Linked DNA regions of Sus scrofa. The protein of the gene in region 4 purifies or fractionates together with the protein of the main gene of each other region. This does not show direct contact. Links are inferred from orthologs where the notes say so. Each region holds a gene or a part of one and is shown on either strand. Other genes may lie near its edges.

Region 1 (8,002 bases), on a different chromosome or scaffold from region 4:
TCATTCCAGCCCATTCAAGTGTCTCCTATGAACCTCCCTTCCCTCCCCCAGGCTGGCAATCTGGCAAGAGGCTAAGGTGAGGGGAGGTCCAGCTGCTGCACGCTCAGAAGAGGTACAGCTCCCTTCTGCACCTGAGAGAGAAAAGGTGGCACAGAGAGATAGCCCGGAAGGGCTCCACCCACTTGCCTGGGATTCCTGGCTTCTAAGTCTGTATGAAGAGCCCACTCGTGAATGAAGGGGAAAAGGAAGAGGAGAAAGTGGTCCCTGAAAGGCAATGCTTTAGCCCAGTCCTTTTGACAATTTACTGTGCACGTGAATCACCGGGGTCTTTGTTAAAAACACAGATTCTGATTCAGTAGCCCTGGTCTGAGGCCTGAGATTCTTCATTTTGAGCAAGTTTTTAAATGCTTTAAGTGCTGCTGGCCATTGTCCGGGGACCACACCTTAATTTGCAAGTCTTCCCCGTCCTTAGCAGCTAGTGCGAAAGCCTAGCATGAACGATGCTTCTTAAAAACTGAAAAACTTCTTGAAAAACTCGGTCAAATACACGAATGAATAAATAAGTTGTGATAAACAGTGAGTTGAGAAGCAGGACTTCCTGCTACTCAAGTCATCATAGATGCTTGTTAAAATACAGATTCCCAGCCCCTCCCCTAGAGTTTCAAAATCAGTCCATCAGAGGTGGAATGGGGTATTTGCATTTTAAACACGACCCCCTCGGTGATTTCTCTGATCAGGCCCGTTAAACCCTAGTCTAATGATTAGGAGGGGGATTCTGAGGTCTGAGTCCAAGACGCACAAAGATGCTCCAAGGGGAAAAGTCAGTGGCCACGGGCTAGGGGGTGGGCAGATCTTTACGGGGTCATGGGTTCACTGTTGGGAGGGTGCCAGGCCTTTGAGGCACCTGCTGAGAGAGAGATCAGGAACTGCACAGGACTTAAGGCCCTTGGGGGTGGGGGACCAGGACGCCGGAGGGCTTCGCTGTCTCACCACTTGAAGACGAGGTTGAGCCACTCGGTGATGAGGCTGATCCAGAGTACCGCGATGCCCACCCGGCGAGAGGCGTAGTAGGCCGCAGGGAAGTAGAACAGAAAGAGGCTTTTGGGGTCGCCCAGAAAGGTGACCCAGAGCCACACGTTCTCCAACCAGGGCAGCTGGTTCTGCAGCGCCTCGGCCATCGCGATGCCCGCGCCCAGTGTGGACTCCATGACCACCCAGTGGCCGGCCCGGCCAGGGTTTGATCTAGGGCGGAAGCGGAGGAGTCCAGGAGACAAGGAAACTGCTACTCACTGCGCTCCAAAGCCCACCCTTCGGAGTCGAGGCCACGCCCCCGGCAGCTGCCAGCGAAACCCCGCCCCTGCCCCGCCCCCGGCAGCCCCGGCTTGCCCCAGCCCGGCCTCCTGCCGGTACCGTTTCCTTCTGCGCTCTTCCCGGGCCTTCCTTTCTACTGGGCAGCGCAGGGGACAAATCTTTGCGAAGGCGTTTCCGCAGATCCCCACGTGGCTGCTGTTGCCGGCACGTGGGCATCAGCGTAAGAGGCCACTGCCGCTGCTGTTCCGGGTCAAGGGACAGACTAACCTGAGGGTCGGTGACGCGCCCAGGGTCCTTCCTTTGCTGCTGTGAGGATGGATATGTAATTTTTAGGGCCAGGATCCTTCCAGACCAAACCTTTCTCCTCCGCTACCGCTACCCTCCAAAGATATTTGGAGATCTTCTGGAGATCGAGCTAGGCATCTCCGGTGGGCGCTGAAGTGGGAGGCTGAGTTGGCACACACTGCTGGCTAATCGGTTCAAGCCTCCACTGCTTGAATTCAAACGCTGTTGATTTAGAGGCTGACAGATAAGCCTCTTGATCTTGAGAAGTTGTCCCTAAAGGCTTACACATAGCAGTCTAAGTCACACTTCCTCCCAGTTCTAAGCTTGCCTTGCTCCTCTCCTTTTGTCATTTTGCTTTCCAAAACCCCGCTGGGCAGATAAACCATGAGATAGTAGCTAGCTTGGTAAGGGAAGAGGAGGGGCACACACCCACGACAAAAATTGGAATAATCCTCTGAAGGAGCACACACAGAAAATAGAAATCTCAGCTATTCCAGGCGAGGTCTTGCCTAAAGGCAGAGGTGAGGTGGGAGGAGACTGCTGAAGTGGTTCCTTCCTACCTCAAGCAACTTTGTTCTTGGAGAGTGTTTTGTTTTGTTTTTTAAGGGTGAAGATGAAAATGTAAATCCGGGTTTTTCTTGGAAAGATTAATTTCACTAATTAAAACGGTGTGGGGAAGGGAAGCTAGATAAAAAAAATCTCATTTCACTCCTTTGCTAAATGTTTTTCAATTGCCCCAAAGGAAAAAAAAATTCAATTTCCTAAGTCTTTGAAAGTTTGCTTGGGCTCTAGCCACACAAATTTTACCAGCCCAGTCTCACACTGTTTCCTGATATTTCTGAGCTGCCTGATATCACCAAGCTCTCTTCTCTCAGGGGTCCTGGCATCTGCAGTTCCCTCTGCCTGGAACATGGCCACGCTCTTTCGCCGCTTATCCTTCAGGTCTCAGATTTTTTACTTCTTCCAGGAATCTTTTTCTAACAGTGCCTGGCAACCATTTATGAAAATCAACAATGACAACATTGCATAAAAAGTGGAGTGGCAGTTATTTATGACTTATGGGGGAGACATGAAGATTCTCTGAAAAACGCAAGGATGAGGGATTTGAATGTTTATTTCTATTAAAATGATTATACTAATATTGACCCAACATTAGGAAGTTGATGGCTCTTGCAAGGCAAGGAAAAATTTTTGAACTTTGTTCAGGTTAAGAAGTGTCAGGTCTGGCCCTTTGTGTCCCTCCCTCTGCCTGTTGTTATTTAGACGTGAGGCTCCAGAATTTCTATAGTGGAGGGGTAGATGGGTTAGGGATGGTAATTTGCAATAGTAGGGCTTGAAAATGCATCTGCATGGTACTTACACGTTAGGAAAATTGTTTTTGATCTTAGATAGTCATTAATAGGGAGCCCCAAACTCCTGCTCCATGGCTACAGTTGTCCCTACCACTGCTCCTCACTCTTTGCTTGGTTTTCTGGAGGAGGGGACAAGACCGGAGATGGGGAAGAATTTTGAGTTCCAAGGGTGAGGGGTGATGGCAGAGATACTACCATTTACTAAGGACCTACTACATGCCATGCATTTGTACTCGTTATTTTTTTTATCTTCCACTCCTCCCAAAGTCTCTATGAGGTATTGTCTAATATAGCATAGCAGTAAATAGCACTCTCTTTGGAAACAGGTAGATGGAATCTTTGCTAGTTGTGCGACCTTGGAAAAAGTTTAGCCTAAGACTTAGTTTCTTCATCTATAAAATGAGAATATTGACTTCTACATCGAAGGGTTGTTGGGTGCTCAATAGCGACAATACATACGGAGTAAAGAAACAGGATCAGGTTTAATAATTTGCTCAAGGTCATATAACTCAGTGGAATACTGATTCCAGTTTAGCCAATTCGACAGCCAAAGTCCTTTCCACTACCACTTTATAACTAGGTATAATCGTTTTGAGCAAGTTTTGATGAGTTTTCTGGGACTTCGATTCCTCATATGTAAAATACAGAGTTCATTCATTAAACTCTTGCGTCTAGGCGTGAACGTAATGAAGATTGCAGTTCCCTCCTCCTTCCTTTTTTTATTCTACATAGGTCATTTATCTTTAACTTCTAAAATGGACCCTGCAAACACTTCACCAAGTGGGCGCAGCTGCACAAACATAATTATTTAGATTCCTCTTTATTTCCTCGTCTACCCTCTTCCACCTAGGATCCCGCCCCACCCAACCCAGGCCACGCCCTGGCGTGTGACGTCAGCACGCCTCGTGCGTCGCGGCGCGGCGCTCACTGGGGGCCCGGCTTTCGCCCGCTGCTGCCGCCGCTGCCGCCGGCCGCGGCTGCTCTCCCAAGATGGCGGCTCCTCCGGGCGAGTACTTCAGCGTTGGGAGCCAGGTGTCGTGCCGGACGTGCCAGGAGCAGCGGCTGCAGGGCGAGGTGGTAGCCTTCGACTACCAGTCCAAAATGCTGGCTTTAAGTATCCTTCCCTGCGCGGAGCCCAAGGCCGGGCCGGCGTGTATGTGCGGTGGTGGTGGGGGGGCGGGGGACGACAGCGGTGGCTGGGGCCTCTCCGGGCCTAGGGGCGACCGGCTACCGCGGCGCTCGGAGCGCATGCGCGCGGCCCTGAGCTCCCCTCCCCCTCTCGCGGGTCCCTCGGTCCGCGGTGGGGACCCTGTCCCCCACGCGTTGTGGGAGCTGGGCCCCGTACGAGGGTGGGTGGGTGGAGGGGGCTTGACACGCGGGTGGCTTTTCGGGACGAACGCTAGGAGAGAGGACACAGTGATTAGAAGAGGGGTGGTCGTGGGAGGGGGCTGGGGAATGGAGCCCGGATGGAGGCGGGGAGGGTAAAATCCTGTGGGGACGGGGTGTGCAGAGTAAGGAACTGCTAGTGGGACAAGGGTATGGAGTTTAGGTGGTTTGTCTGCTGATGGGATTTCGTCCAAGAAAGGGCGGTGGGGTAGTGACCAAATGGGTCTCTCCTTTTTGGGGGGAGAGTAAGTGCAGGATAGGAGTTTGTATCTGAACTGGGGATGGGGCTTGTTTTCCTGGTGCTTGTGTGTGTGCTTGTGGTGCCAGTGGGGGCGGGGAGTGCTGAATTTTGGGCTTCTCAGTCATATGGAAATTGCTATTTTGGGGATGTTTGTGTTGGAAACCTGGTGCAGAGAGAGGACCACGTTTTTCGGGGGCTTATGTATCGATGTATGGGTTACAGGTGAAAGAGTAAGTTATATTCTCTTGCTCAGCCCAGCGCATGGAATCCTGATTTTCCATAGTAGTAGCCTTCCCTTTGGAAAGTGGCAGTGTTAGAATGGAAAAAGTAGCCTCTTCGGGGTGGAAATGATTTCTGAATTACTCCAGGAAAGTCATTCTTGGAAACAAAATACTTCCTGGTTGTAATAAATGTGCCACCCCTTCCCCTCTTATTTGAGCCACAGGTGGGTTTATTTGGCTTTTTTTTTTCTTGGAGTAATTTTTTAATGGCACCTTTCAAAAGGAAGTTTCTTTCTGAGTCAGTTGCTTTTGAGTGGCAAGTGTTTTAATTTATTTAACCACTAGTCCTAGATTTCTAGCTTAGGAAGATGTCCTTTGAAACTAATTACAGCAAGAATAGTTTTGTTTTTGTTTTTGCTTTTTTTTAGGGCTGTACCCAACAGCATATGAAAGTTCTCAGCCTAGGGGTCTAATTGGAGCTACAGCAGCTGGCCTTCTTCACAGCCACAGCAACGTGGGATCCAAGTGGTGTCTGCGACCTACACCACAGTTCATGGCATTGCCAGACCCCTGACGCACTGAGCGAGACCAGTGATCAAACCCATATCCTCATGGATACTAGTTGGATTGTTTCTTCTGCACCACAATGGGAACTACTTTGTTGTGTTTTTTAAATACAAGAATACATACCTGGATTAAAGACCATTTACATTACTGGTTTAATTGGAGGGGTTTTGGAATGAGAAATTACTCAGCTTTTAATTGATATACAGTATGCTCTTAAATGGTCAGAGAATGAGTGAGTGAGTGAATGAATGGATGGGTTAACTAGCTGGGTCACCTTGAGTGAGCTTCCTTTCCAGTGCTGTAGTTTTTTCCTGCAAAATGGGAAATCTCAAATCTGAAAAAGTGAAAAGAGCACTGTTCAGATATAGGAAGGATACCAAGAACAGAAAGTACTTGCTCTCCTGTGTGGTTCATTAGGTTCAAGGCAAACAGTATACTTACAGCATTAAAACTACGTCAAGCCTCTGCATAAAACCAGCAGAGAGAAGGTGACAGAAACCCTGTTGAGGCTTCCAATTTTGGATTGTGTTTTCCTTTGAAAAGCTTGAGATCCCTTGGTCGTGGGGTTGATCGGGAGGAAGGTGACAGGCAGAGATTTCCTGAGGAGAGCTGATTCTCCTGAGGCCACCCTCTTGCTTGTGGCATACCTTTTACACAAGTCATGTGTGAATTGTGTTTTCCATGTCCCTTTGGAATGTGTTAGTGCTCTGCTTCCCCCAATTTTCCTTAACTTTATTTTCTCACCAGAATGTCCCTCTTCCAGTGGAAAGCCCAACCACGCAGACATCTTGCTCATAAACTTACAGTATGTTTCAGAAGTGGAAATAATTAATGACCGAACAGAAACCCCTCCTCCCCTAGCTTCACTCAATGTTAGTAAGGTAAGGACTTGAGGGCAGTTCTGGCTCTCCAAAATGATGGGAAATTTGAGTCTCATTGAGTCTTGGTGGCACATACATTGTCCATTGTTTTTTCATTTTTTTCACTAATTTACAATTGCTTGTATTTTCGGAAAAATATAGCAGTTTAGTTTTTCTGTTTATTCCTGGATATCTTCAGATTTTAAGAAATGTCTTAATGCCCAAATGGGGAAATAGAGTTGAGAGCTGGCTTTTGTCCTTTGGGAGAGGGCTTGTTTTTACTTCTTAACCTGGAGTCCATATGCATGAACTTGATGTTGGTGGGGTGTTGCTTCTCAACCTCCTGAAATTGTGTGTTTGTGCACAAGTGAGTTTATGTGTTTCCTGGGTGAAGATCTGAAGTATTTTTCAGGTTCTCAGGAATTCATGACCTACAAAGATTTGAAAACCACTGCACTAGAGCTTCATTTTTGTTTTTATGTTTGAACTTTGAGGTCTAACAAAGTTAGAGGTTTAGGGAGTTCTCTTGTGTGGAAAGGATTAAGGATCCAGCATTGTCACTGCTGTGGCTTGGGTTCACTGCTGTGGTTCCCATCCCTGGTCTGGGAACATCCACGTGCTGCAGGCACTGCCAAAAAAAAAAAATTTAGAGGTTTAGGATATTCTAATCTTGGAAATCCAGATTGATTTTGGGGAGCCCTCAAATAACTTTTCTCATTCTTCATTTCTGTTAGCCAAGTATGGGGGAGTACTTGGAATCCTCTTTCAGAATAACTGGAGCTGTATCTATCAGGGACTCAGTTTAATGTCACCTCTTCCAAGAAGTCTTTTCTGATCAGCCAGGCTAAAGTGATTTGCCTCCATTATTCTCTCTTATAGTATCTTATCCTTGAAAGATAAGGTGACATGTTTATAGTCTAATCTGGGACATTTTTGAGAGTAAAGGGTGAGGGGTACTTTTGTTGTACACTGAGACAAGCATGTATTGGTGTGTCCTGGGAAAATTGGGACTTAAGGTTATCCTATTCATAGCCTTTTTGTAATCATAATTGTATATTATTTGTTTTCTTTTCTTTTTTTGGTCTCTTTGCCTTTTCTAGGGCCGCTCCCTTGGCATATGGAATTCCCAGGTTAGGGATCTAATTGGCGCTGTAGCCACCGGCCTACACCATAGCTCACAGCAAGACCAGGTCATTAACCTGCTGAACAAGGCCAGGGATTGAACCCGCAACCTCATGGTTCCCCAGTCGGATTCATTAACCACTGTGCGATGGGAGCTCCCATTTGTTTACTTTTCTATCTCACTAAACTTTGTTTTGTAGGGATGGGAATATTCTTACTTTGTTCATCACTGAATATACAGAGCCTTGCACAGAGTAGGTGCTTCATAAATATTTGTTGAATGACTGATTTAGACATTCATCTTTTGTAGCAGCTACCTTTTCTTAAGTATTTTAAATTTAGTGTGGTGGAAGTTTTTCCCTCTGTGGGTTTTGTAATAATGTATAATCTCTTGCTTCTCTTGGGAATTTGATATGTTTGCGACAATTCAGCAAATCGAGGAAACAGGCAGCTGGAAATACAGAGGGTGACTGAGGCTGGCAGTATGTAGTTACCTCAGATCTGGAGCACCCTATTTTCTAAATTCCAGGGAAACACCAGTGTTTTTCAGTGATGTTTGAAGATAGATTTAGAAGGGTCTTGGGGGAGTGCCCGTCGTGGCTCAGTGGAAATGAATCTGACTAGTATCCATGCAGACGAGAGTTCCATCCCTCCCCT
Region 2 (7,342 bases), on a different chromosome or scaffold from region 4:
TGGAATATACTTGTAGTCTTGTTAAGGTTTATGTGTACACACGCTGGTCACAGCAAGCAGATAAAATGCCCTCATCATTTCACAAACTACGCTCTACTGGAAAAAAAGATGAAAGATTTTTTTCCCCTGTTGCCTCCTGTTGCAGATGTCAATGTTAATGAGTTCAGAGTACCCATTAGTGCATTTTGATGAGTGCATAACAAGTTTCTGTTGGTTTGTATTTTTGGGGGGAGCCAAGAAAAAAGGCAAGATTCTCCAATTGCACAAATTGCACTATTTGTGTTTCCAACATTAACAGGTAGAAACAGTAACACTTAAACAAAATGTGCAGCAGAGGGGGTTTTTTTTGACTCAAAGGACCTGAATTCAGTTGGGCGTGTCCTCTTAAGTTCATTTTGTTGTAGACAGTTTAAGATATGGTCATTTCTCAGTCCTTAATTCTCCAAGTCTAGATTTATAAATTAACAATGCGAATCCTGCTGTAAAATTGGGGAAATAATGTCCACCTCAATTTAACTGATAACCAAAGATGCTTTTCACATCAAAGAAATGATCAAAAAGGCTGTGTCACATTCCAAAGCCAAAAAAAATTAACAAGAATGCAAACACGATGAATAATGTACCACTGCCAAGACTTTGCCAACAGTGGAGCTTCAGCGACGCTGTCCTGTGAAGCGGCCTTCCATCTGCCCGGTTCCTCTTCCAGAGCCAAGTTTCTGTGCCATGCCACCTCTTGGAGGGGGTCCTCTTCCATCCCGGTCCCTCATCATTCCACCGCCCACTACTCCACGGGGACCTCCAGGACCGCGATCATTGCGCCTAATATCCCTGCGATCATCGCCACCACCTCGGGTTTCTCGCTCTCTGGCAGCTCTTGTCTTTTTCTCTTCCACATTTAAACGTACTTCCCCTCGAAACATAATTGGCTTTAAAAAGGAAGAAAAAAAATTTACATGGGCAGGTGAGATATTAATAGTAATGTATTATCAAACCCAAACATAAGGAAGAAAATCCTAAGAGACAAAAAAATCTTTGATGAAATTCTTAATATGTAATCTATTCAAAGCTTTACCAGAGCAAATAATGAAACTTGAAATAATCCATACCTCAGACTTTAAAACTACTAACAAATCTTTGTGCTTTGCATAAATACCATTCCATGGGAAAACCATTTTAGCTTTAACCAGACTTTCTCTGGTTTTAAAATGTATCAAATTAATACTAAATACAATAGGAATAATAAAGTCTTGAATTATGCCCTTAAAGTTACTTACTTTTGCAATTAAGATTCTCTGAACTGGTTCAGAGTCATCAAAAACCACAAAACCAAAATTTGGAAGCTTTCCCCCAACACCTTTGGTATTGATGCGAAGTTCTACAACGTTTCCAAAACCTGTGAAAATATACATTACACCAAGGGTTAAATATTTTAACAGAATACGTTGAGACTTTAATTATTCAAGATGAAATACCTTAATCTACTTAATCCATTTCAACATAAAGCTGCAAGCTGCTACAACCCAGTGACAGTTGAGGTAGTTACTCTTATAGGTCATTCACCAAAGACGCCAACAACTAGGCTGTTTTGTTACTCTTCTGCATCTTTATTAGTCCCTTCAAAAGAAAAGTTACCTACATATTAGACATACAATGTCATTTTCTATTTCTGACTTGTATTCACCAAATAAATTCCACTTCCAAATTGAAGACTGATTCATCCCACTCTCTCTTCTAACCTCTACAGAACCAGGTCAGTTAACACTAAGTATAGTCACTGGGAAACATCTTACATAACCTTCTACTACTCCCTTCTGCTCAATGAAAGGTGACTGGTACCTAGAGACAAACACAGTATATAGAGAGGTAAATGGTTTTTTTTTGTTTTTGTTTTTTAATCCTAATTACATTTTGAAAACAAGCTCTCTCTCCTGCTTAATATTACAATAAAGCAAACTAAACCACTTACTCATGAAGAACTCTTTCAGTTCATTTTCATCAATGTCATGTGGCAAGTTACCAACAAAGAGTTGATGACTATCTGGGTATCGAATTATTCTACGGTTGTCAGACTCATTCTGTTCGATATCTCCTCTGCCTGAGAAAAGATATGGAGCCGATATTAAAGTTTACAATATCATATAAAAACTAGTTCAAAGCAATGAATGATAAAAAAAAAAAATAAAAAAACAACTTGGTTTCCTGTTTTAGTTAAACAAGATAGTGAGCTTCTTGAACGGAGGTGGAGGTGTCTAGTATTAGTAGGTTAGTTAGAAAACATGACATTAAAGTGAAGTGAGGGTATTGACTAGATTGCTAAAGTCCCTTCTTCTAGATTTACTGGTCTGATTATATGGAAGTCAAATATTAGCAGTACAAGCATTCCTCTTTAGCCAAACTTTTGCCATCACCCAGGAACTCAGATAGTGTGAGGTACATTTGTACTAAATATTTATTATTTTAAAATCCACAAATTAATCTTTGGTTGTGTGAAATTACAGCAAACTCATTAAATTTAATAGTAGTAATATCTCATTGATAGGGCCTTTCATACACATTAGGGTGCTCGTATACACACAAAATCTAATTTCGTTCTCCCAGAAACACAAGAACCATAGTGAAGCATATAAAAAAAGGCATCACAAGGAAAAATCTGTGTATTAACTGAATGGTATGAGAGAAGCTCAGTATTTAAGGGTCTTACCCAGTATCATAAACTCAATCAGTGACAAAGCTAGGACAAACTCCAGCTCTCATGACTTCTGGTTTTAATAACACCGCTTATTTTACTTTTGTGGGAAAAAAATTATATATTCTAAATTTGATGTATACTATCTCCCACCTCCTCCCAAAAGCAATCTAAACATACTTATAGAATCCAAAGAGAGGTTCTAGACATATCAGCTAACAATGGAAACAAGTCAAAAATCACGGCAACTTACTTAATACCTAAGACAATCAAAATAAGAAGAATCAGGGTGTGCTTATTGTTTATCTGTGAAGAGAAAAGTGCTAAGTAAGAGAATAGGTTATTGGCAGCACGGTTTTGAATTCTTGGAACCAGTGACAATAACCAAATAAAATGTGTCTCAAAATTCTTTTATACCTGCGAAGTATGAGTCTCCAAGGGAGGTCAGCTAATTCACCCCTAAAAGTTAGTTGTTTTGCCCAGACTATATTTAGCAAGTTACTTAAGCCTTTAGGCAATTTGGTACTAGAAGGATTTGCACATAAGACACATTGTTTTGTTTTTGTTTTTTTTTTAAAAACTTTTTAAAGTTCCGTCTTCTCCAGCTTCCAAGTGCTAAGTGCTGAAGGCTACAGAGGGGCTGACTCACCTGGTCTTGGTCCCCTAGGAGGGAAACCAGGTCTTTCTCTAGGTCGTTGTTCTCGCACACGAGGTGGCTGAGACTGAACTTCTGGTTTAGTTTCCACTCTCGGCTAAAATAAAAGGGAAAAAACATATTTTAAAGAAACACATTCCACAGGAGAAAAACCAACTAAAGCAACAACCAACAAGTCACTAGCAGGCATAATGGTAATTTTAGTTTTGGGTATTTTTAACGTAGTGCTCTACATATGTGAAACAAATTTTCATAAAGATATTCTGTACCAATCTAGGACTGTAGGGTAAGTTTTGTTTTCCCACTGAAGACTATGTAACTCATAATAAACTGCTTTTTACAACTATATTTTTTTCCAAAAAGTTACACTCACATTGAGACAGCATAAAAAGTATTGCTACAAAAATCACAAAAATGCAAGATAAGCCACTCCACATACATATACATGTATTTTTATACATGTTAAAAAGAAGCCATTTTATCTTCAAAAAACAATATATGACACATATGTTCTCATTATCTAGTTTGCTGCTCTTAAATACTGCTCAGCAGTATCTTCTAAACCCCACCCGATAAATAATTACTTTAAAAAATCACTATTTTGATACTTCAGAATATACAATTTAGCATATTCTGGTGCCTAAAAATACTACCTTGAAGTTAAAATGCACGTAAAAAACATGACAGGAATGGGTACATAGCATCTCAAACAGTCAAAGAAGTCCTACTCTTCTTTACAGGAGAAGTGTGCATTTATTTAAGGACTGACCCAACGTTTCTTAACTGCTTCGTAGGGGTGGCAAGAGAAATAAGAGATCATTTTAAGGTACTCTCCAAAGGTTTCTGCTAACTGCTAAATTAAGCAACATATAAGGTAACTATGCTAAAAACAAAATGACATTTGCATCTACTATTACCTTTTCCTTATTAATACACTGGCATTTTCAGTATTTCCAACCTCTTCGGGCTGTCTACTGCCCAAATACTTATGGTCCAGGAAGAGACAAAATATATGCACCTTCAAAGGATGCTCAAAACACCCAGGAGGAATATGAAGAATGTGTCCTTAAGCTAGCAATTTCAGTCTGTCTTTATGGCTGATAGAATCTGAGTTCCTCAGTCCAGGCAGTAGCTAAAATTCTTTCATCACTTATATAACTGGGATATTATAATTTACAAGAACAAAGAACTATGTTTCTTTCAAAAATAATTTATTATAAATAATTTCACCCACTGTAAACCAAGATATATTATCTTCCATCCTAAGCAGTACAACAGATTTGCCTGTCTGTAAAAATCCTGTTTTTTCTTCCATGTAGATTTCCCCATTTCCCTCAAAATGGAAGTTCCTTCCCATGCAGAATTTTGCTAGTTTAAGAAAAAAATTTTTAGTGTTTAACTCTCCCAAGCTTTATTTTATTTTTTTGGTCTTTTTAGGGCTGCACCCACAGCATATGGAGGTTCCCAGGCTAGGGGTCAAATCAGAGCTGTAGCCGCTGGCCTACACCATGGCCATCCAGGATCTGAGCCGTGTCTGCTCATGGAAATGCTGAATTCTTAACCCTGAGGCCAGGGAACAAACCTGTGTCATGGATACTAGTTAGATTCGTTAAACCGCTGAGCCACAACGGGAACTCCCCAAGTTTTAAAATTAATTATATGTATTTATTCCTTAAGGACAATATCTTAATCTGTTGCTACACCAAGTAAAGAACCAAGCACAGTGCCATTAAACATGGATGTTCAATAACTATTGGTTCATTTAAAATCAAATTCCACTTTTAGGTCTCTAATCCATAACATGTAGGAGGAGAATGTTCTACGCTTGACATAGAGCCTAAATTACAGCACTGAGACTGTTGCTCTCTGTATCTGGAATTTAACATTACATAGTAATTTGACCAAAAATGTGATGCCTAAAAAAGGTCAGTTATTTAGAAATTTCAACTAAGGCGGGGGAATGGGAGAAAGGGCCTAAAAGCACAACTTACTTCAGTATGAATGTAAAACAGAATTAAAGAATATATGGTCTCTAACAAAGTGTGACAAAGATACTATGTTTCAGAAATTAATAAAAAATAGCAAATGTACATCTTTCATAAAAATCTCAGGAAAATCTCAACTCATTCAATTCAGGAAAAAGAACTCTGCCTGACTGATTCAAATTCTTTTAAAAACAGATTATTGAAACAAAAATAACTACAGAAAGTACTTCATCATCTTTTAAGGATTTAAAATTAAAAAAACACCAACTAAGCCAGCTGTGCACTTAGAATTTTTTAGGCTCAATATCATGAAAATTATTTGTTCCATTAAGGTAAAATAACTAAGATATCACATACTACTTTAGGGCCTAAAATTAATTCCACAAAATCAGAACATGTGCTCACATGACAAGTCCCACAAATGAAGATCAAACAGAATACGAAGTAAAAATGAAACCAACAAATCAAGTCAACAAAAGCAAATAAAAACATAATATATACTTCAACTGAATACAAGCTACTTAAATGAACTAATTAATTTTTAAGAAATTTACCACGTTAGGAGTTCCCGTCATGGCACAGCGGAAACAAATCCAACTAGGAACCAAGAGGTTGCGGGTTCAATCCCTGGCCTCACTCAGTGGGTTAAGGATCTGGCGTTGCTGTGAGCTGTCGTGTAGGGCGGCAGCTGAAGCTCTGATTAGACCCCTGGCCTGGGAACCTCCATATGCCACAAGTATGGCTCTAAAAAGCAAGAAAAGAAAAAAAAAAAAAAAAAAAAAAGAAATTTACCAAATTAACTTACCTACTTCTAAATTAATGCCTACCAATATCTTAGAATTAGATTTAATTATTCTATTAATCTATACATGTTTATTAATCTATTTCATGTTAAGGAAATGGATACTACACCAAAGCAGCAAAATTTTGAAGGGTTTATTAAATCAAGTGGAAAAATCATGAATCCATTCTAATATAGCTTAAGGAGTTCTGAAAGTTTTTTTAAGATTTAAATTATAAATGTTAAATTTTTTTTTGTTTTAATAAAGGGGTGTGTTGGCAAATACAATTCAGTCCCTTACAATTGAAAGGAAAAAAAACAAAAACAAAAAAAAAATTTTTTCCTGGACGAGAGGCTAGAATCTAACGTAATATAACTTAGACATAGCACTCTTCTTTTCTAATGTAAATAGAGATACACTCCGCGCCCCCCCAAAGGCTATAAAGAAACCTACAGATTTGCATGAGTGTCCAACTGTAGGAACTGAACGCCCAGGCCTACTACTTTATTTATATGGCTGTCTGACCTTGGGTGACGTACTCTAGACCTCTATTTACTAATCTTAAAAAGGAATAATAATAGTAAACATTCTCACAGGGTGCTTGTGAAGATTAGAGATGAGAGTAAATATTAAGTGCTTTGCACAATACCTGGCACTATACTAAATTAAAGGTGTGCTAATAAGAATTAACTGCTGTAACTTTTGACTATCAGCTAATTTAAAATAAACATAGCCAACTCTCTGAAATCAAGTACCAAGATTCCAAATGCAAATCCAATAGGAAATCAAGCATGTCAAAAGAAAATCCAGAAGTCACTTACTGGATCTTCAGATGGGTAGAAAAAGACAATCAGTACTTGGCAAATTAATTTTCTTCATTAACACAGAATTCTGATTTGTAATCTGAGGTAATTACTCAATATTTCCTGAATATCTATCTAGTCAAAGAAAAATACAAAAAACAAAACCAGGTACGGCAAGGCCAGTATTCTATTTTGTAGCTGATTATCTGTAATAACACCCAGGAAGACAGTCGAATAATTACTAGCTACTTCTGAAAAATCTCAAAAGTTTCACCATTTAGAGCATATTGAGAGTTGTAAAGACAATTTTATGTGCACTAACCATTTCAAATGTAAATTTTCTAGTGGAATGAAGTTTGACTGAAAATGCAGGGAAAAGAACTGGACACCCTTTAAGTGTGCCTATTAACTTCAGAATTTAGCTAATTGTA
Region 3 (7,873 bases), on a different chromosome or scaffold from region 4:
TGTGGACAGCAAAGAAGGAATGCAGAGAAGCATTAGAAAACTTTTGGGGGTGATTATTTTCACTATCTTGGTTGGTGTTAGGTTTCATGAGTATAAACAATGCCAAAAGCTATCAGATTGTACACTCGAAACAGTTGTATGTTATTTTATGTCAATTACACCTCAACAAAGCTGTTTTTTAAAAAAAAGTTTTGGAGTTCCCTGGTGGCTCAGCAGATTAAGGATCCAGCATTGATGCCAGGCCCAGGAACTTCCACGTGCCATGAGTGCTAGAAAAAAAAGAAAAAAAAAAAAATGAATTTGGGCCAAAATCTTAAATGTCAACAATCATCCTTTTGCAATATTAACTACAGAAGTTACCGTTGTGGCTCAGCAGATTACAAACCCAAGTAGTATACATGAGGATGCAGGTTTGATCCCTGGCCTCGCTCAGTGGATTAAGGATCCAGCATCGCTACGAGCTGTGGTGGAGGCCACAGACACAGCTCAGATCTGGCATGGCTGTGGCTGTGGCATAGGCCAGCTAAACCCTAGCCTGGGAACTTCCACATGCCGAGGTGTGGCCCTACAAAAGCAAAAAAAAGAAAAAAAGACATGGATTTCCTACGCTTTAGATCTCATAAAGCCTAAACATTTTTTGTGTGTGTGTTTTTAGGGCCACACCAGCAGCATATGGAGGTTCCCAGGCTTGGGGTCCAATCAGAGTTGTAGCCACCAGCCTACACCACAGCTACAGCCACGCAAGATCCAAGCCACATCTGCAACCTACACTGCAGCTCAAGGCAACGCCAGAACCTTAACCCACTGAGCGAGGCCAGGGACCAAACACACAACCTCGTGGTTCCTAGTGGGATTCGTTTCCGCTGCACCAAGATGGGAACTTCAGATCTCATAAAGCGGAAATGTATACATGCCACGAAACAACGAGGGCAAGCTCAAGACAGTCCACCAACATGGAAGGTAATAGTTGGGGCAGTGTCTAAGAAAACCCAAAAGGGACGGTAAGTATAACTCATGCCTTCCAAGATTCTGAAACCTTCAAGGTTTTTGAGTAGGGAAATATTCAGTACATACCTAAGTTCTCCACTAGGTACATCATGCATTTTACCCAATAGTTTAGACAAGTATTTGAGTTTTAGAGCTTCGGTTCTTATAAATAAAAGATTAAAATACCTAAGATGTGTAAAAGCACTTTAAAAACACACATAAAAGGCAGGAGTTCCTGTCAGGCCTCAGTGGTAACGAGCCCGACTAGTACCCATGAGGACACGGGTTCAATCCCTGGCCTTACTCAGTGGGTTAAAGGATCCATCATTGCCATGAGCTGTGGTGTAGGTCACAGACGCAGCTTGGATCCTGCGCTGCTGTAGCTGTGGTATAGCCCAGCAGCTGTAGCTCCAATTCTACCCCTAGCCGGGGAACTTCCATATGCCACAGCTGCGGCCCTAAAAATAAAAATAAAATAAAAATTCATAAAAGGCTATATACAAACACAAAATGTTAATTAAGCAGCCACCAAGGAAGACATCCCAGATACTAAGCTGAAGTGTGTCCCATCCAGAAAGCCAGCTTTTCTCTCTGAACCATCTCTCATATTTACGTTATATTAAATACCTGAAATACAGAACAGTCAAGCAATATGACAGAACGGACTGGCCAGAGGGAAGTGGAAATCTATCACCTAAAGTAATCTAAAGACCTGATTTTATTTGCAAAGGCCTGAGCCCACAAGAGAGCCTCTGACTGCTTTCGGCTTTGTAAAGCCCCTACTCTCCCACTTTTCCTGTGCACATCATTTCTACGGCTTCACTCTATCGTCCTGATTGCAAGTCAGCTTTCCCGACCAAGGCCAGACAGGGTGTCCAGGAATACGAGAAAAAACAAACAGAAAGCTGAGTTTTTAACTTAATATAAATCTAGTCAACCACCACAGTGTCATCACCAACTGTAAATGAGATCACAGTTGCTGGGCCTAAATTTATCTCCGTGACTGGAAGGACAAGTACTACACTAAAGGCTCTTCCCACTAGCTATTAAAAACTGACTGGGGGAGTGAGGGGGGTGTTTCCTTATCTACCTACTTTAACCATCAGCTCCCTTTGTAAAGTCAGTTAATTCTGCACAAGGCGGGCTTAAAGCACAATTAAATGAATATACATTCTTGAATTCCAAAATATTTTAAAAAAACAAATTCCACTGCAAAATGTTGAATTATCAAGCGGGTAATTTTATTAAACCAACAAAAAGAAAAATTGGTTTAGGTCACACATTCAGGCTTTATACCAAATTTCATCTTTTAACACTATTCCATCCATCCTAAGAACCATATTCGATTCATGAACCTATAAAAACGTAAAACTAACCTCTGCCTTTTACTTCTATGCAAAGTGCTAAAACCAATAAAATCACAAAAAAAACTGCAAAGTAGGTCACCAACAAACATTACCAAATCTCCTGATGTTCCCTTAGCACACTGTCAGCTGAGAACAGCAAAGCAGAGTGAGTTAAATAAAGAACAAAGAATTGCCTACTTTTCTACCAGTCAGAAGAGGTACAAAAGCTCAAATTCAAAGGATTTAGCAATAAAACCTCTAGCTTGGCTGGGAGGCAGGAAGGTAGACAAATTTTATATTAATCACAATCTGCTTCAATTCATTCGTTCCTGACAAATGAATGCACAAGAGGTCAACTGGCCTATCCATCTGTGAATTACCAGTTTTCATATTCCTGCCCAACTGATAACCATTTGCCCAAAGTCAAAAACAGTATTTTTTTAAACATCTGAATGGGAAACTATCAAAAATTTCCCTCAATTAATGCATAAAGAACTTTCTGACATATTTTGCCTCCAGAAATAACTAGCTGAACTCAAACCTAACAGTTCAATGTATGTCATCACAATGTTATAACATTTAGTAACTTAAAATGCTAATTCAATAGTTAACTGGTGTCTAAATGCAGGTAACTGGAATTGCTACAGGAAGGCAAGCTCCAAGGAAAACAATGTTATAATCTAAAGCTACCTGTTATTCATGACAACCCCAACAAAGAACTTGTCTTTATAATATTTTGGTCCTTTATCCTACTGTTACTTTCTTTTAAGAAATATGGAAATTACTTGTTAAATGGAAATACTTAAAAATAATAAGCTTCCTCTTAGCTTTTTAATTTCCTACAAGGATCTAAAAATTATGTTTCCTCTGGCTGCAAAAAAAAAATCTTAAAAACTAATCCTAAAAAGTGTCTGCACACACAGAATAAATTTCTTTACAATAAAGAGAAAAAAAATTGAAAGCCACCCCAATAAAAAGTATTCAGAAAAGCTAGCCCCCCCAGTTTTATTGCAGCTTTAGCTCAAGTAGCCATTTGTGATGCAAAGTAATGATTCGAACCTGCAACACAGGAACATTTATTACTTTTACCTTAATACACTAGCCTAAAGAAATATAACTCTACTAGAAATACTTAAACACAAGTCTTTGAAGGTACCTTCTACATTTGCATGTAACAGGAGCACATGCAACAATGCTAAATAGACAGACTTTCATCCACAGAAGATCCCAACCGCCTTAAGGGTAAGATTTCCAATTCCAAGAGCTATCACCCCTAACGCACCGAGCTTAGGCTCCACAGAGGTCAAATGTATACTCTAACTGGGCACCAAGGTTTCCATTCCAATTTCAAATTTTAACTTACACATGCTGGCTAGATCTGAAACGCCTCAAAGTGCAACCTCATTTTCCTCGACTATAAAACGAGGAAGTCAAACAATCTTCTCCAAGGTCTTTCTCGAAAGTCTGCCCCAATTAAAAAATGAAGCAAAGATTCAAGATATCAAGGCCTAACTTCCTGCTGGTGGGAATTTCCCATCGTCAGCCTACTACGTTTCAAATCTGACAGCACACTGTCCAGGTTCAGTTGCACTTAGTCATTTTATTCTGTCGTTTCCCCAGAAGCTTTTAAGGCAGCACGTCCGTCAGCCACCTGTAGGAAAACCTGTCGCAAGGAGGCCCAAACCCTTTCTCTTCCTTGGTCACAGACCCACGCCCAACCCTTGTCTCCCTGGAAGCCCACAACTGGCCCAACTACAAATGCCGCTGCAGTCGACCTTCCGAGGCTGGTACTGTCCCCAGGGACTAGTGCTCTGGGGGCAAAGGTGCCCTGGAGCCGCACACGGCGCTGCAACAAAGACTACAATAGACTTGGGGGACGAGGAGTCAGGTGGCCTGCGTTCAAATTCCTGTCCCTAACGATCTGTGTTCGACCGTGTCACTCCACCGCTGGGCCTTCGAATCCGCTGTAAACATTAGAAAATCATGGTACCTACCTCATCGGGACATTGCGGGACTAAAGGGGAAACACACAAGGTGCGCACGACTGTGCCTGGCACAGAGGGAGGGCTTAGAAGATGAGTAGTTAGTACTATCATCATTCGACATCCACGAAGTCGCTGCTTACCCTTCACTCGCTGTAAAAGCTTGGGGGGCAGCACTTCTGCTTCCCGAGTCCAGAAATTCTCATCGCACTTTCGTGCCCCCCCCCCCCCATAAAAGCCTTCTCTGGTCTGGGATTAAGCTGGAGCTACAGCCAGGAAAGGACTCGGATGGCGCGTGGGGGTGCGGGCGGGAAAAGCTGGCGAGCTCGCCGCGCGGGGCCCCAGGCCCTCGAGAGCACTCTGGGGCTCGGGCGGCGGCTGCGGCTCGCTCTCGCCCCGCGTGGCCGTTGGGCGCGGCACGCGCACGCCGCGAACGCGGACACGGCCACGCGCGCCGGCCGGTGGGGGCGGGGGGCGGAGAGCTCCTGCGCGCCCGTGCGCCTGCCGCGCGCGCCTGCGGCCGTTGGGGCGGAGGTGGGGAGGGGGAGCTCGCACAGTCGCCGTTCGGACGTCTCCCTCTCACCTCTGCCCCAGCTCGCCCTCCTACCGGTCCAGCCCCGCCCACACCCTGCCGTACCTGCACGGCTGAACGGGAGAGGAACAAGCTCTGCTCCACCGCAAGGCAAAAGGCAAATACCCTTCACGCAACTGCGTCCGCACACACGCGTGCTCCGTCGCCGGGCTATATAACCGAGACTCAGACTAACTTGTTGCGGCCAAGTCGGGCAGGCTAGTGGCCAATCCCGACGGCGTCCTCTGAGCTCTTCGCGCAGCAATTGGGTACTGACTCAGGATGAAGGCGTGGCTCTTGATTGGCTTTGACTTTTGCCTATGAGCCTGTAAGGATCTCGTTTCCCTAGTGACGGATTGGCACTGAGAGAGACCAATAACGGAAAGGTACGGTGGGGAAGGGGCTGGGAACTTCTTTGACCGATATCCACGGTAGCCAATAAGTGCGTGCAGCCGTTCCCATTCGTTAAAACGTCTTCCCCTGGGCGGAGATCCGTTTTCCATGCAGGAGCGGTTGATCCACAAGGTGGGGCCCTTGTACTTTGGGGAAGTAAACCCCAAGCAACTAGGAGGTGGGCGCCAGGGTGGCTGGGGGGCCCCGGCCCAATCGCAGCGCGGAAAAGAGGTGATTGACGCCGGGGTTGAACGGTACCGAGGAGGCTGAGCCCCGGGGGCCGCCTTGCCTTCTGGGGAGGTTCTGAGGCTTTCTTGGCCCCGGCTTCTGTCCTTTTCCCTTTCCTTTCTTCACTTGTTGGGTGCGGTCCCTGAGGCCCCCTTCTCCCGCTTTTCCCGCACAATTTGGTACCAGCCGAACCAGATGGTGAAGTTTCCCGTTGCTTTATTTTATTTTTTTCCTCTTATGCCAACTTTTTTATTTCCACGCGGCCGCCTAAGGGCACTTGCTGGTTCTCAGCATTAGTCAGCACTATTACTGGACAACCGTTCAAGGAAAGCCAGAGGAGAAGGTAACTCCCGTTGTGTACCTAAGGGCTTGTAAAAAGGTCGCACGTGAAAACTGTTGACTTTGAGGACACTCGTTTCTACTCTGCCCTTCTGGGCAAGTGCTGCTGCAGGTCGGCTAGTGGGTGTTGACCGAGGAACAAGAGTTTGTTCATTCTCCCGGCAGCTTGGCCCTTCCTGTAACATCCTGTGCGTCACCACCATTGTCATTCCCATTTCCAGTTGCCCTAGGTGTGGGGCCTTATTTCTTGTAGTCGTTACATCTTGAAAAGGTAGTTTGTCAAACTCCTATGGACACCCCAAAGCGTCCCTAAAACACCAGAGGCTAAGTGACGCTCCAGCCCGGTCCTGTCCACGTCTTCTAGCCTTTTGTTAGGCCCTCTATTGGTCACCCTGAGCATTTCACATGGAAATACAGAGACACGCCTCGTTTGAGTCTCCTTTGCAGGCACGTGGTCCTGGGGAGGGTCTCAAAATTTTGTAAATTTGGAAATAATGCACGTGGAGCCTCTGCTGGGGGCGAAAGGACAGGGGAGGCAGCCTGGTGGGGTCGGGGTGCAGCCCCAGAAGCTAAATGGGAGCGTCCCTCTGCCCCCCGCCCCCCAAGCCCCACTCCTGCATCAGCCTCTCTCATTCAGCACTTAATGAACTCCAGGGGCTGGGGTCAGGGATGATCAAGATGCTGCTGACCCTGCTTGCTGCCACCCATTGAACAAACCAGGGCCTGGAAGCTCCTCCGCGAGCTCGGGGAAACTGGGGAAGGGGCATATGGGACTTTGGGGGCAAGGAAGGGATCTCGGCTCAGAGGAGAGGATCCGCCACAGGTTTTCTGATTTAAGGAACCTCCAGGATCTCGTTAGCCTTACTAAGGAATTTGGACTTTACTCGGAGGGAGATGAGGAGCCCGTGAAAGATTTCTTAAAAGGTGGACGAGGACATTTGCAGGTTTTTTTTTTTTTTTTAGGCCCCCCCCCCCAGCATATGGAAGTTCCCAGGCTAGGGGTCAAATCAGAGCTATAGCTGCTGACCTACAGCACAGCCGCAGCAACACCAGATCCGAGCCATGTCTGCGACCTGCACCACAGCTCATGGCAATGCAGGCTCCTCACTGAGCAAGGCCAGGGATCGAACCCACATCCTTAGAGATACTAGTTGGATTCGTTTCTGCTGCACCACAACAGGAACTCTGACATTCGCAGTTTTCAAGACAACTTTACAAACTGAACTGCTAATCAGAGCAGACTGGCTGTGAATCTTGGAATTCACAGATGAGGTTATTTAACCCAGGCAGCCTGTGATTGGGCTATTCTTAATCACATTTGGAGGGAATTTTAAATGATATAGCTGTTTTTGTAAGGCTCTTTGGCAATCTGTTAAAATTGTGTATGTGGGCGTTCGAGTCATGGCTCATCGGAAATGAATCTGACTAGCATTCATGAGGACGCAGGTTCAATCCTTGGCCTCAATCAGTGAGTAAAGAATCTAGTGGTACCTTGAGTTATGTAGGTCGCAGACGAGGCTTGGATCTGGTGTTGCCATGGCTGTGGTGTAGGCCACAGCTACAGCCTCAATTTGACCCCTATCCTGGGAACCTCCATATGCCACAGGTGCAGCCCTAAAAAAAAAAAGATAAAATTGTCTATACCACCCTTCTTGCAAAATAGACACATTTCTAGAGTGTTCATTATACGCACTGTCAGCTTTGTTAGGATATTTAGAAACTGAAAATGTAGTTGCTTATCAGTTTGCAAACAGATTAATCAGTGACATGCCGACAATATAGAATATTATGTAGCATTTTGAAGGAGAGCAAGATAGGAGTTCTCTCCTGGCACAGCAGGTTAAAGGTCCAGCATTGCCTGCAGTGTCTTGGATAGCTACTGTGGTGTAGGTTTCCAGCCCTGGCCTGGAAACTTCCAAATGCTGCAGGTGTGGCCAAGGAATAAAAAATAAATAAAAATATAAAAGAGAGGAGTTCCAGAGTCCCGTTGTGACTCAGTGGTTAATGAATCCGACTAGGAACCATGA
Region 4 (7,878 bases):
GGACTAAGGGAGGAGGGAAAACGTTTCAAAGTCCAGCAAGGAAAGCAACCACCTCCTGTCCCTCGCCTCTATCAGGTTGAAAGGTTAAACATCTGACCAAATCCAGAGGGGAAACATGGAAACATGGCAGGTGGGAACATCGACGAGGAAGGACTACTGACTGCAAATCAGCAAGAGGCCAGGAAAGAAAAAGGTCTTAAGACATAACATCCACTCTCAGGTTTCTCTCCCAGAGTAATTCTGGCCTATGTGCATGGGGATACACGTTCAAAAAGTTCAACAAGGTATCATTTCTCGTACCTGAGTGGCAAAAAAATACCATTCACTAAGGAAAGAGATTACTACCGTTTGTTCTGTGCACATATAAAACTATATGTACATGTTTATACAATAGAACAATACACAATAGGTAAAAGCAATGACTACACCCATGTACCAACACGAAAAATTCAAAACAAGCAAGAAAGAAAATTTAGATATGGTAATGTAGTGAAACTTCTAATGACGAATTTTAAAGGACTCAAGGCCCTTGTTTTGTGGGAGGGAGATGGGCCTACACAGTACTCAATCTCATCCATACCTGCCCTTATTAAGACTAGAAAAAAATCGACCTAAAGCACATGTTAATAGTTGACGGTCACAGATGGTGGAAGAACAGGTATTTTTGCTGTCTTCTGTCCCTTTCCATTGGAATCCAACTGGAATCCATAGGGAAAAGTAAAGGATGCTTCCCCTGGCCCACCCCATTCACTGTGGGTTCTAAGGATAATGTCACTGACAACCACCCACATTCTGGCAGCAGAGCGTCCCAGCTCTCAGGCTCTGGGGGAAGAAGACTGTACCATGTCAGACTCGAGGTCGTAGTCATCGCTGTTGCTGTCGCCCCCCTCCCAGCGCTGAAGCACCTTCTCTTTGTGCTCCCCATTCACCTTGGAATTCATGGCAATGGCTGAATCAGTGAACTTGTCTGTTGGAGCAGATTGAAGATCAAGAGTCAGGTGATATTTCATAGCCTTTCCTCCAACACCCCCCACACCTCCCCATCCGAGCAAAAAGTTTGTATGTGTCAAGAGTCTGGGAGGTGGTCTGCAAACAAGGCAAGGGAAGTACAAAGAACCACAACACAGGCTGGAATTCACTCCACTGTATCTTAAAACGTCAAGACACACCCTCGAGAAGAAACCCTAGCCATCTTCCTGAGAAATAAAGGAAGGGGATACAGAGGAACAGGGAGAAGATTCACCGTGTAACTGTTCTCTGCTCTTTACCCAAGAAATGGATCTGACCTAACAGTCTGGTCCAATAAATACCTTTAGTAGCATAATTGAAGTCGACATTTCGGAAGTGGACAAGCATGACATCACTTGGCTTAAACACCATGGTGTCCACAATGTCTTCCCGACGAGGGCCACCTGCTGGCTCAGATGCTTTCCGGTGCACAGCGTCTACTGCCAGTTCAAACTATAAAAGTTCCATTCACCAACACACATGAGTCAGTATCAAGAAATGTAAAGGCAAAAATAGGACTACTTTTATCTTATCCTTTTTAAACTTTCCCCCACACACCTTCTCACAGGAACTGTCTTCTCGACATCAGCCATGGAACTTATTCAGCAAAAATCTTTACAAAGTCACATTTTAAAAATTTGAGCATTTTAATATCCAAGAATACCAGCCCTCAGAGTTCCCACTGTGGCTCAGTGGTAATGAACCCAACCAATACCCATGAGGACAGGGGTTTGTCCCTGGCCTCCCTCAGTGGGTTAAGGATCCGGCGTTGCTGTGAGTTGTGGTGTAGGTGGAAGATGAGGCTCCGATCTGGCATTGCTGTGGCCAACAGCTATAGCTCAGATATGACACCTGGCCTGGGAACTTCCAAGTGCTGCAGGTGTGACCCTAAAAAGACACCACCCCCAAATTTCAAACCCTTTTTTTTTGGCCATGCCTGCAGCATCTGGAAGTTCCTGGGCCAAGGATCGAACTCTTGCCACTGCAGTGACAATGCCAGATCCTTAACTGTTAGGCCACCCGGGAACTCCTTGAACCCATGCCTTTTAATTCCATGTAGCACTATTCTGCAACAGGCACAAAGTTGGCCAACCCCACTCATTTTACATCTTCAATGAGCCTATTTCACTCTCCTCCACTTCCTCCCATGCCAACTCTAAAAAGAAACTAACTCAACACTCCCAGGTGGTCTAGTGGTTAGCATTGGCGTGCTCTCCAAAAATAAGCCAGTTTGAGTACACTGACCTTTGAGCTCAGTGTCTTGAAGATACCTTCATAGGTGGTACCATTCTTCACCTTTACATCACAAGTAGAGCCCTGAAAGAGCGGGAAAATAAGGACGAGTGCCTCCAGCAAACGGATGCATTACATTCCTAAGAGTTTAGGTACCCACTTACCACAACAGCTGTAAGGAAATGCAGCATTCTGGAATTGTTGTAGACACCCTCAAACACCTGTCAGTAACAAAGGAGAGACAAATAAAGGAACAGCCAGTCAACATCTCACCTTCCTTCTAAATGCCCACAGTCCACTAATATCCACCTTATATGTGCTGGGCCCCCTGCTATTCCCAACCAATCTGACTATTGTTGCACCTTATCTGCCCTACATCCCCATCCGTGCATCTTTTAGGTCTCTGTGCCTTGGGTGAGGGGGAGAAGGCACTCACCGGTGACTGTGGGGGTCCCTTTCCTGTGCTTTGTCCTCTATAAGAAAAGGAAACAAGGAGCTAGTTATTTCATGCTCAATCCTTTTTGTACCATTGATTTCAAAGGACCTGGTATGTTAGAACCATATATCATGTAAAGATAATCACTTAGGCTACAAACCAATTAATCAACACTACTTTCAAGATCTCACCTTCAGAGCAAGAAGGACATTAAAAGCCATTTCCTCCAATTGCCAGCAAAACAGACCTCAGTCATCAAGGGTTGTCAAAAGCCAATTCAACACAACCTTTTCACTTTCTCCAAGAGGGCCAGGGCTGCATGCTTCCAACAGACAAATGCTATAATATTTGATAACTAACAGCCCACCCCAGATGTAAAGATAGAAGCTCACAGAGTGAGTACCTAGATCAGGCATGCATTTATTACCTCCCCAACAGAAAAGACCATCATTTCCCGTAGCCTTGCGCCCTAAACCCTGGCAGGAGGGGTACTCCCTCTACAATCCACCCTCTCGATCTCTTTACTCATTCAGCCTATTACCCACTCTGGAAGGGGTCACCAATCGCCTGGTAACCCTGCTCCTCGCTGGCTGATGTAACCGTCGGTTGAAGAGGACGATCAGGGGGCCGTTGGCGGGGCTGGGGGACAGCGCAGCCGCAAAAGCTCTCCACCGGGAGGCCTCGCCCGGTCTGCGCCTGCGCACTAAAGCCCTAGGGCCTCTTCAAAATCCCCCCTCCCGCGATCACAACCCACTGCGCCTGCGTGTACCTCCACTCTCAATTCTATAAACCCACAAACAGAAGAAACACAGTGGGGTGTCCACCACTCATCCAAGAACACCCGGCGAACCCGTCCAAGCACACTCCCGGCAGCTGCCCTCTATGTTACCCGGGGCTCGAGAATGGCCGGGTCATAAGACTGAGCATCCGCGCGCACGTACGGGAAGCGCGCGCGCGCGCGCTGGAGGTTCCCGGCCCGCAGTCCTCCCAGTTTTGTCCCTCCTTCCGTCCCCCCCGCCCACTCTGCTCCATTCCTACTGGCCGGACTGGGAAGGGGGAGGTAGCAACTCGCTCCCAAGTCCCTCCCTCCCCATTGGCCAAACTGTGGGCCGCGCGCCCCCCTCCATTGGCTACGGCCAGGGACCCCTTCCCGCAGCTGACTCCCCATTGGCTGAAGCTCCGGACCGCGAGACCCTTCGTGGTAATGGAGCCGGGGACCCCTATCACCTCTTCACCCCCCCAACTCGTTCCGACGCCGCTGGCGGGATGCGCCCTGCCTGCCCTTAAGGCCCAAGCCCCGAGCAGTGACTGGTCGCTCAGAGCTGAGCGCGCACCCTCAATGTCCCGGTGGCTAGCCGCGGAGGCTTTCCTCCGACCTGTTAGAACCTGAAGGGCCCACCCCCAGCTCCACGGGATTTCCCCACTCCCCCTGGCGTCCCTCAAAGGTGGCCAGAGGCTAGAGGTCTGCCTCGCGCGGTGTACAGGTCTCGGCCACCTTGGCTCCGGCGCCCGGAAACCCACACGTTCTCACCTGGCGCTGCCGATGGCCGCTGCCCCTGGCCTCTCCTGATGTTGCTGCTGCGGCGGCGGCGGCTGTGGCGCCAAGATGCCCTCGGTTCCCCGGCGGAGTCCGCTCCCGGCAGCGGCTGCAGGCCCTAGGCAGGGGGAAGCGGCCGCGGGAGGCCCTGGGGGAGCCGAGGTGGAGGCCAGGGGCCCCGGGAGGCCGCCGTTGGGAGGGCTGGTGCCCCCAGGAGGCCGTCGGGCCACGGCCTGTTGCGTGGGGGGCGGCTGCTGGGGCTGGGAGGTCTGTTGTGGCGGCTGAGGCTTCAACATGATGGCAGCGTCCGGAAAGGGAATTAGGGGGAAGGGAGGGAGAGAGGAGGCCGGGGCTGGGGCCCCGCCGGAGAGCGCGGGAAGCGAGGTGGACTGGGAAGCTGGGGACCCGCCGTTGGCGGGCGGGGGCGAGCCCCGCGGTGTCGGGGGTGGATAGAGAAGACCGCGGCGCGAGGAAGCGCCGCGAGGCGGAAGGGGAGGGGGTCTCGCGGGCCGGAGGAAAGCGAGAGGGCGCGAGCCGGCTTGGCGCGCGTGCGCGTCGCCGGGGAAAAGGGAGGGGGAGGAGCGCCCGGGCGGGAGCTCCCGAAGGGGGAGGGGCGGGGAGGAGGGAGCGTCGGCGCGAGATGTCCGAGCGCACCGGGGCGGTTAGCTCCGGGCGACAGAGGAGGGAATAAAGAAAGGTGAATCTCGCGCCTCTAGCCTTTGGAGTGGGAGAGGAGCAGCGCGGGCGCTCACGCGCGCCAAGGATTTAGGGTCTCTAGATCTCAAGCAGCCCAGAAGACTGCCGGCCGCTGTCGCTTCACAATGAGCGTGTGAAGCGCTGGGGGAGGAGCCGAAGCAGCAGAGAGGAAGGAAGAGCCGGCCGCCCCGCCTACGCCGCCGGCGTAGCGTCGGGATGCCTCCGCAGTCTTGTGAGAAGTCACGACGTAGCGTGCAGTTCTTCCGCCATTCGGGGGCCTGTGGGCGGAGTCTTGAGTGCAAAAAAAAAAAAATCCCGAGAGTAGACCCGGGACTTCGCTGAAGCTGGTGGTAGTTTCGTGGGGAGCTACTCTCGGAGCTTATCTGATTTACATAAAAGCCTGATAGGCGTTAAAGATAGCAGTTTGGAGATAAATATCTGCCTAATTCTAAATTATATTATATGGTTTTCAATATAGTAATTTCTCCACGCCCTGGAACGGGACTCTTAAACTAGCAGCAAAGAGACTGTCTGAAGGCCAAAGTTCCTAGAGTCTAGTTCAAAATCCTCCACCCCACTCGACAAGGAAGGTAGCCTTCATTCATTCAAATTAGTTGGTCATTAGGACATTAGGCTAGGTGTTTTCGATATAACTGTAATGAAATTACTTCCTGCCCTTGTCAAGGAGTTTAAACTAGTGGTAGATTCAGACAATTAGATCTCTTAGGTGAAGCACGGGGCACTAAGAGTAGATAGGAATGACATCTAATTCAGCACTGGGTGATGGGTTTCTAGGCAGGGGGCATAGGATGTGACAAGTTAGGAAAACTTCAGCATGTCTGGAGTATGAAATTAAAGAGGGAGGAGGTTGAAAAAGGAAACTGGAAAATTAAGTAACGTGGGACCAGATATTAAGGAGACATGAGCATAATCCTCAAAGCAGTGGCCACAGCAACACCAGGCCAGAGCCACATCTGTGAGCTACAACACTGCTTGCAGCAATGCCAAGTTCTCTAACCCACTGAGTGAGGCCGGGGATTGAACCAGCATCCTCATGGATACTAGTCGGGTTTGTTAACTGCTGAGCCAAGATGGGAACTCCCACTAGTTGGATTTTTAACCTGTTGAATCACAAGAACTCCCAGATTTACATTTTTTTAATGAACTTTATTTTTTTTTTAACGGCCACACCTGCAGCATATGGGATCAAATCCTAGCCACAGCTGCAGCCTACGCCACAGCTGAGGCAACGCCATATCCTTAATCCACTGTACTGGGCCGGGGATAGAACCGGTTCAATTTTTAAAAGATTACCCTTTGCAGTGTGGAAAATAGAGTGGAGGAGTGATGAGTCTGTGGTTTCAATCCCAGATAAACTTCCAGTGTCTTTCTCTCTCTTCACTCCAGACATCAGCATTGGGACTCTTGCAGCTTTCATTTCTCCCCTAAACAGGCACACACTTCACTCAAAGTCTGCCTTGCTCTTGGGTAGTGTTCCTTCATCCCGCCTGACTCCTAGCTTTGAGAGTGTTAGGTTCCCTTCCTGTGTGTTTGCCCAGCAATTTTCCCAGCTTCATTCTATGAGTGGTTTTCATTCTGTCTTCCTGCTGGTGTCAGCTCCTAACAATTGGAATCTTGCTCTTATTCACAGCTCCTTCTGCAAGACCTAGCACCATGCAGGCAGTCAATTAAATACCTGTGAGGTGAATGGATCCAGGACTATGTCTCCTGGATGTCTAAATAACACAGTCCAGGAGTTCCTGTCTTGGCTCAGCAGAAACGAATCTGGCTAGCATCCATGAGGACAAAGGTTTGATCCCTGGCCTCGCTCAGTGGGTTAAGGATCCGCATTGCCATAAGCTGTGGTGTAGGTCACAGATATAGCTGGGATCTGGCGTTGCTGTGGCTGTGGTGTAGGCCAGAGGCTAAGCTCCAATTGGACCCCTAGCCTGGGAACCTCCATATGCTGTGGGTGCGACCCTAAAAAGACTTAACTAAATAACACAGTCCAGTTTTTTCCTGACATGACCTATACCACCTGATGCTATGCCACCTCTCCAGCTGGCCTCATTATGGGCACTTCTGTCTCGCCCACCTCATCCTGCTCCCAAACTCTGCTAAGTTTCAGCCTCGTTAAACTCTCATTTATACAACATACCTTGACTTTATTCAACTCTGCCTTTATACGTGCTATTTCTTCACTTAATCCTCATTGTTCAAGCTCAGGTGTCAGGCCTTTGGAACTTCTTGTTATTGACTTCCTACTTCGGGCTCCCAGAGCACTGTGATAGTTTATTTCTGGGTTTTTTTTTTTTTTTTTTTCTTTTTAAGTCTTTTTAGGGCCACACCCATGGCACATGGAGGTTCCCAGGCTAGGGGTTGAATCAGAGCTGCAGCTGCTGGCCTATACCATAGCCACAGCAACTCAGAATTCAAGTCACATCTGCAAATTACACCACAGCTCACAGCAATTCTGGCTCCTTAACCCACTGATCAAAGCTAGGGATCAAACCTGTGTCCTCATGGATACTAGTTGGGTTTGTTACTGCTGAGCCACGTCAGGAACTCCATGTTTTCTGTTTTTTTTTTTATTTGTTTGTTTTTTGTATGGCTTCCCTTTCCCTTGGAGCCTGAGGTCAATAAAGTCAGGGACTATATTTTACTCATTTCCCTAACCTTCTTGTATAGCTCAGTGGCTGGCACACAGTCGCTCAATAAATTAATAAATGAATGAAATGTTGTCTTATTATATGCAACTTAGAAATTACATTACTTTGATTTGCTAAGGAGTGATTTCCAGATATATTGTTAAATGAAGAAAGCAAGTTCAAGAGTATAAACTGTGTTACCTTTTGTGCAAGGACGAAGGGGGAATAGGAAAACAGAAATGTATCTGTAAATTCTTGCAAAGAAAAACACAAGAAGGATAAAGCGAAAACTCATAAAAATGGTCACCTGTGAGGGGCAG

The links.
Region 1: the proteins of ATXN2L (region 4) and LSM12 purify together in Homo sapiens (affinity purification with mass spectrometry; 4 studies listed by BioGRID and IntAct, with this or other methods). This does not show direct contact. The link is inferred for Sus scrofa from reciprocal best matches to the Homo sapiens genes ATXN2L and LSM12.
Region 2: the proteins of ATXN2L (region 4) and G3BP2 purify together in Homo sapiens (affinity purification with mass spectrometry; 4 studies listed by BioGRID and IntAct, counting the BioPlex papers as one, with this or other methods). This does not show direct contact. The link is inferred for Sus scrofa from reciprocal best matches to the Homo sapiens genes ATXN2L and G3BP2.
Region 3: the proteins of ATXN2L (region 4) and G3BP1 purify together in Homo sapiens (affinity purification with mass spectrometry; 4 studies listed by BioGRID and IntAct, with this or other methods). This does not show direct contact. The link is inferred for Sus scrofa from reciprocal best matches to the Homo sapiens genes ATXN2L and G3BP1.

Annotation. Positions count from the first base shown.
Region 1 is NC_010454.4:19,124,780-19,132,781, forward strand, and holds the start of LSM12 (protein LSM12 homolog), read left to right. Parts: upstream 1-3,850; 5' UTR 3,851-3,938; coding exon 3,939-4,062; intron 4,063-6,110; coding exon 6,111-6,244; intron 6,245-8,002. Other genes in the region: G6PC3 (glucose-6-phosphatase 3), read right to left, coding at 991-1,208. UniProt on the Homo sapiens protein: Nicotinic acid adenine dinucleotide phosphate (NAADP) binding protein. Confers NAADP sensitivity to the two pore channel complex (TPCs) by acting as TPC accessory protein necessary for NAADP-evoked Ca(2+) release.
Region 2 is NC_010450.4:71,275,235-71,282,576, forward strand, and holds part of G3BP2 (ras GTPase-activating protein-binding protein 2), read right to left. Parts: intron 3,439-7,342; coding exon 3,336-3,438; intron 2,096-3,335; coding exon 1,967-2,095; intron 1,394-1,966; coding exon 1,275-1,393; intron 927-1,274; coding exon 654-926; 3' UTR 1-653.
Region 3 is NC_010458.4:71,271,002-71,278,874, forward strand, and holds the start of G3BP1 (ras GTPase-activating protein-binding protein 1), read right to left. Parts: upstream 5,084-7,873; 5' UTR 5,066-5,083; coding exon of another isoform or gene 4,604-5,065; exon of another isoform or gene 4,459-4,603; intron 1-4,458. Other genes in the region: uncharacterized protein LOC100514500, read left to right, coding at 4,604-5,065. UniProt on the Homo sapiens protein: Protein involved in various processes, such as stress granule formation and innate immunity. Plays an essential role in stress granule formation.
Region 4 is NC_010445.4:18,503,257-18,511,134, reverse strand, and holds the start of ATXN2L (ataxin-2-like protein), read right to left. Parts: upstream 5,044-7,878; 5' UTR 4,511-5,043; coding exon 4,209-4,510; intron 3,582-4,208; exon of another isoform or gene 2,869-3,581; intron 2,715-2,868; coding exon 2,678-2,714; intron 2,463-2,677; coding exon 2,406-2,462; intron 2,326-2,405; coding exon 2,254-2,325; intron 1,462-2,253; coding exon 1,311-1,461; intron 968-1,310; coding exon 843-967; intron 4-842; coding exon 1-3. UniProt on the Homo sapiens protein: Involved in the regulation of stress granule and P-body formation.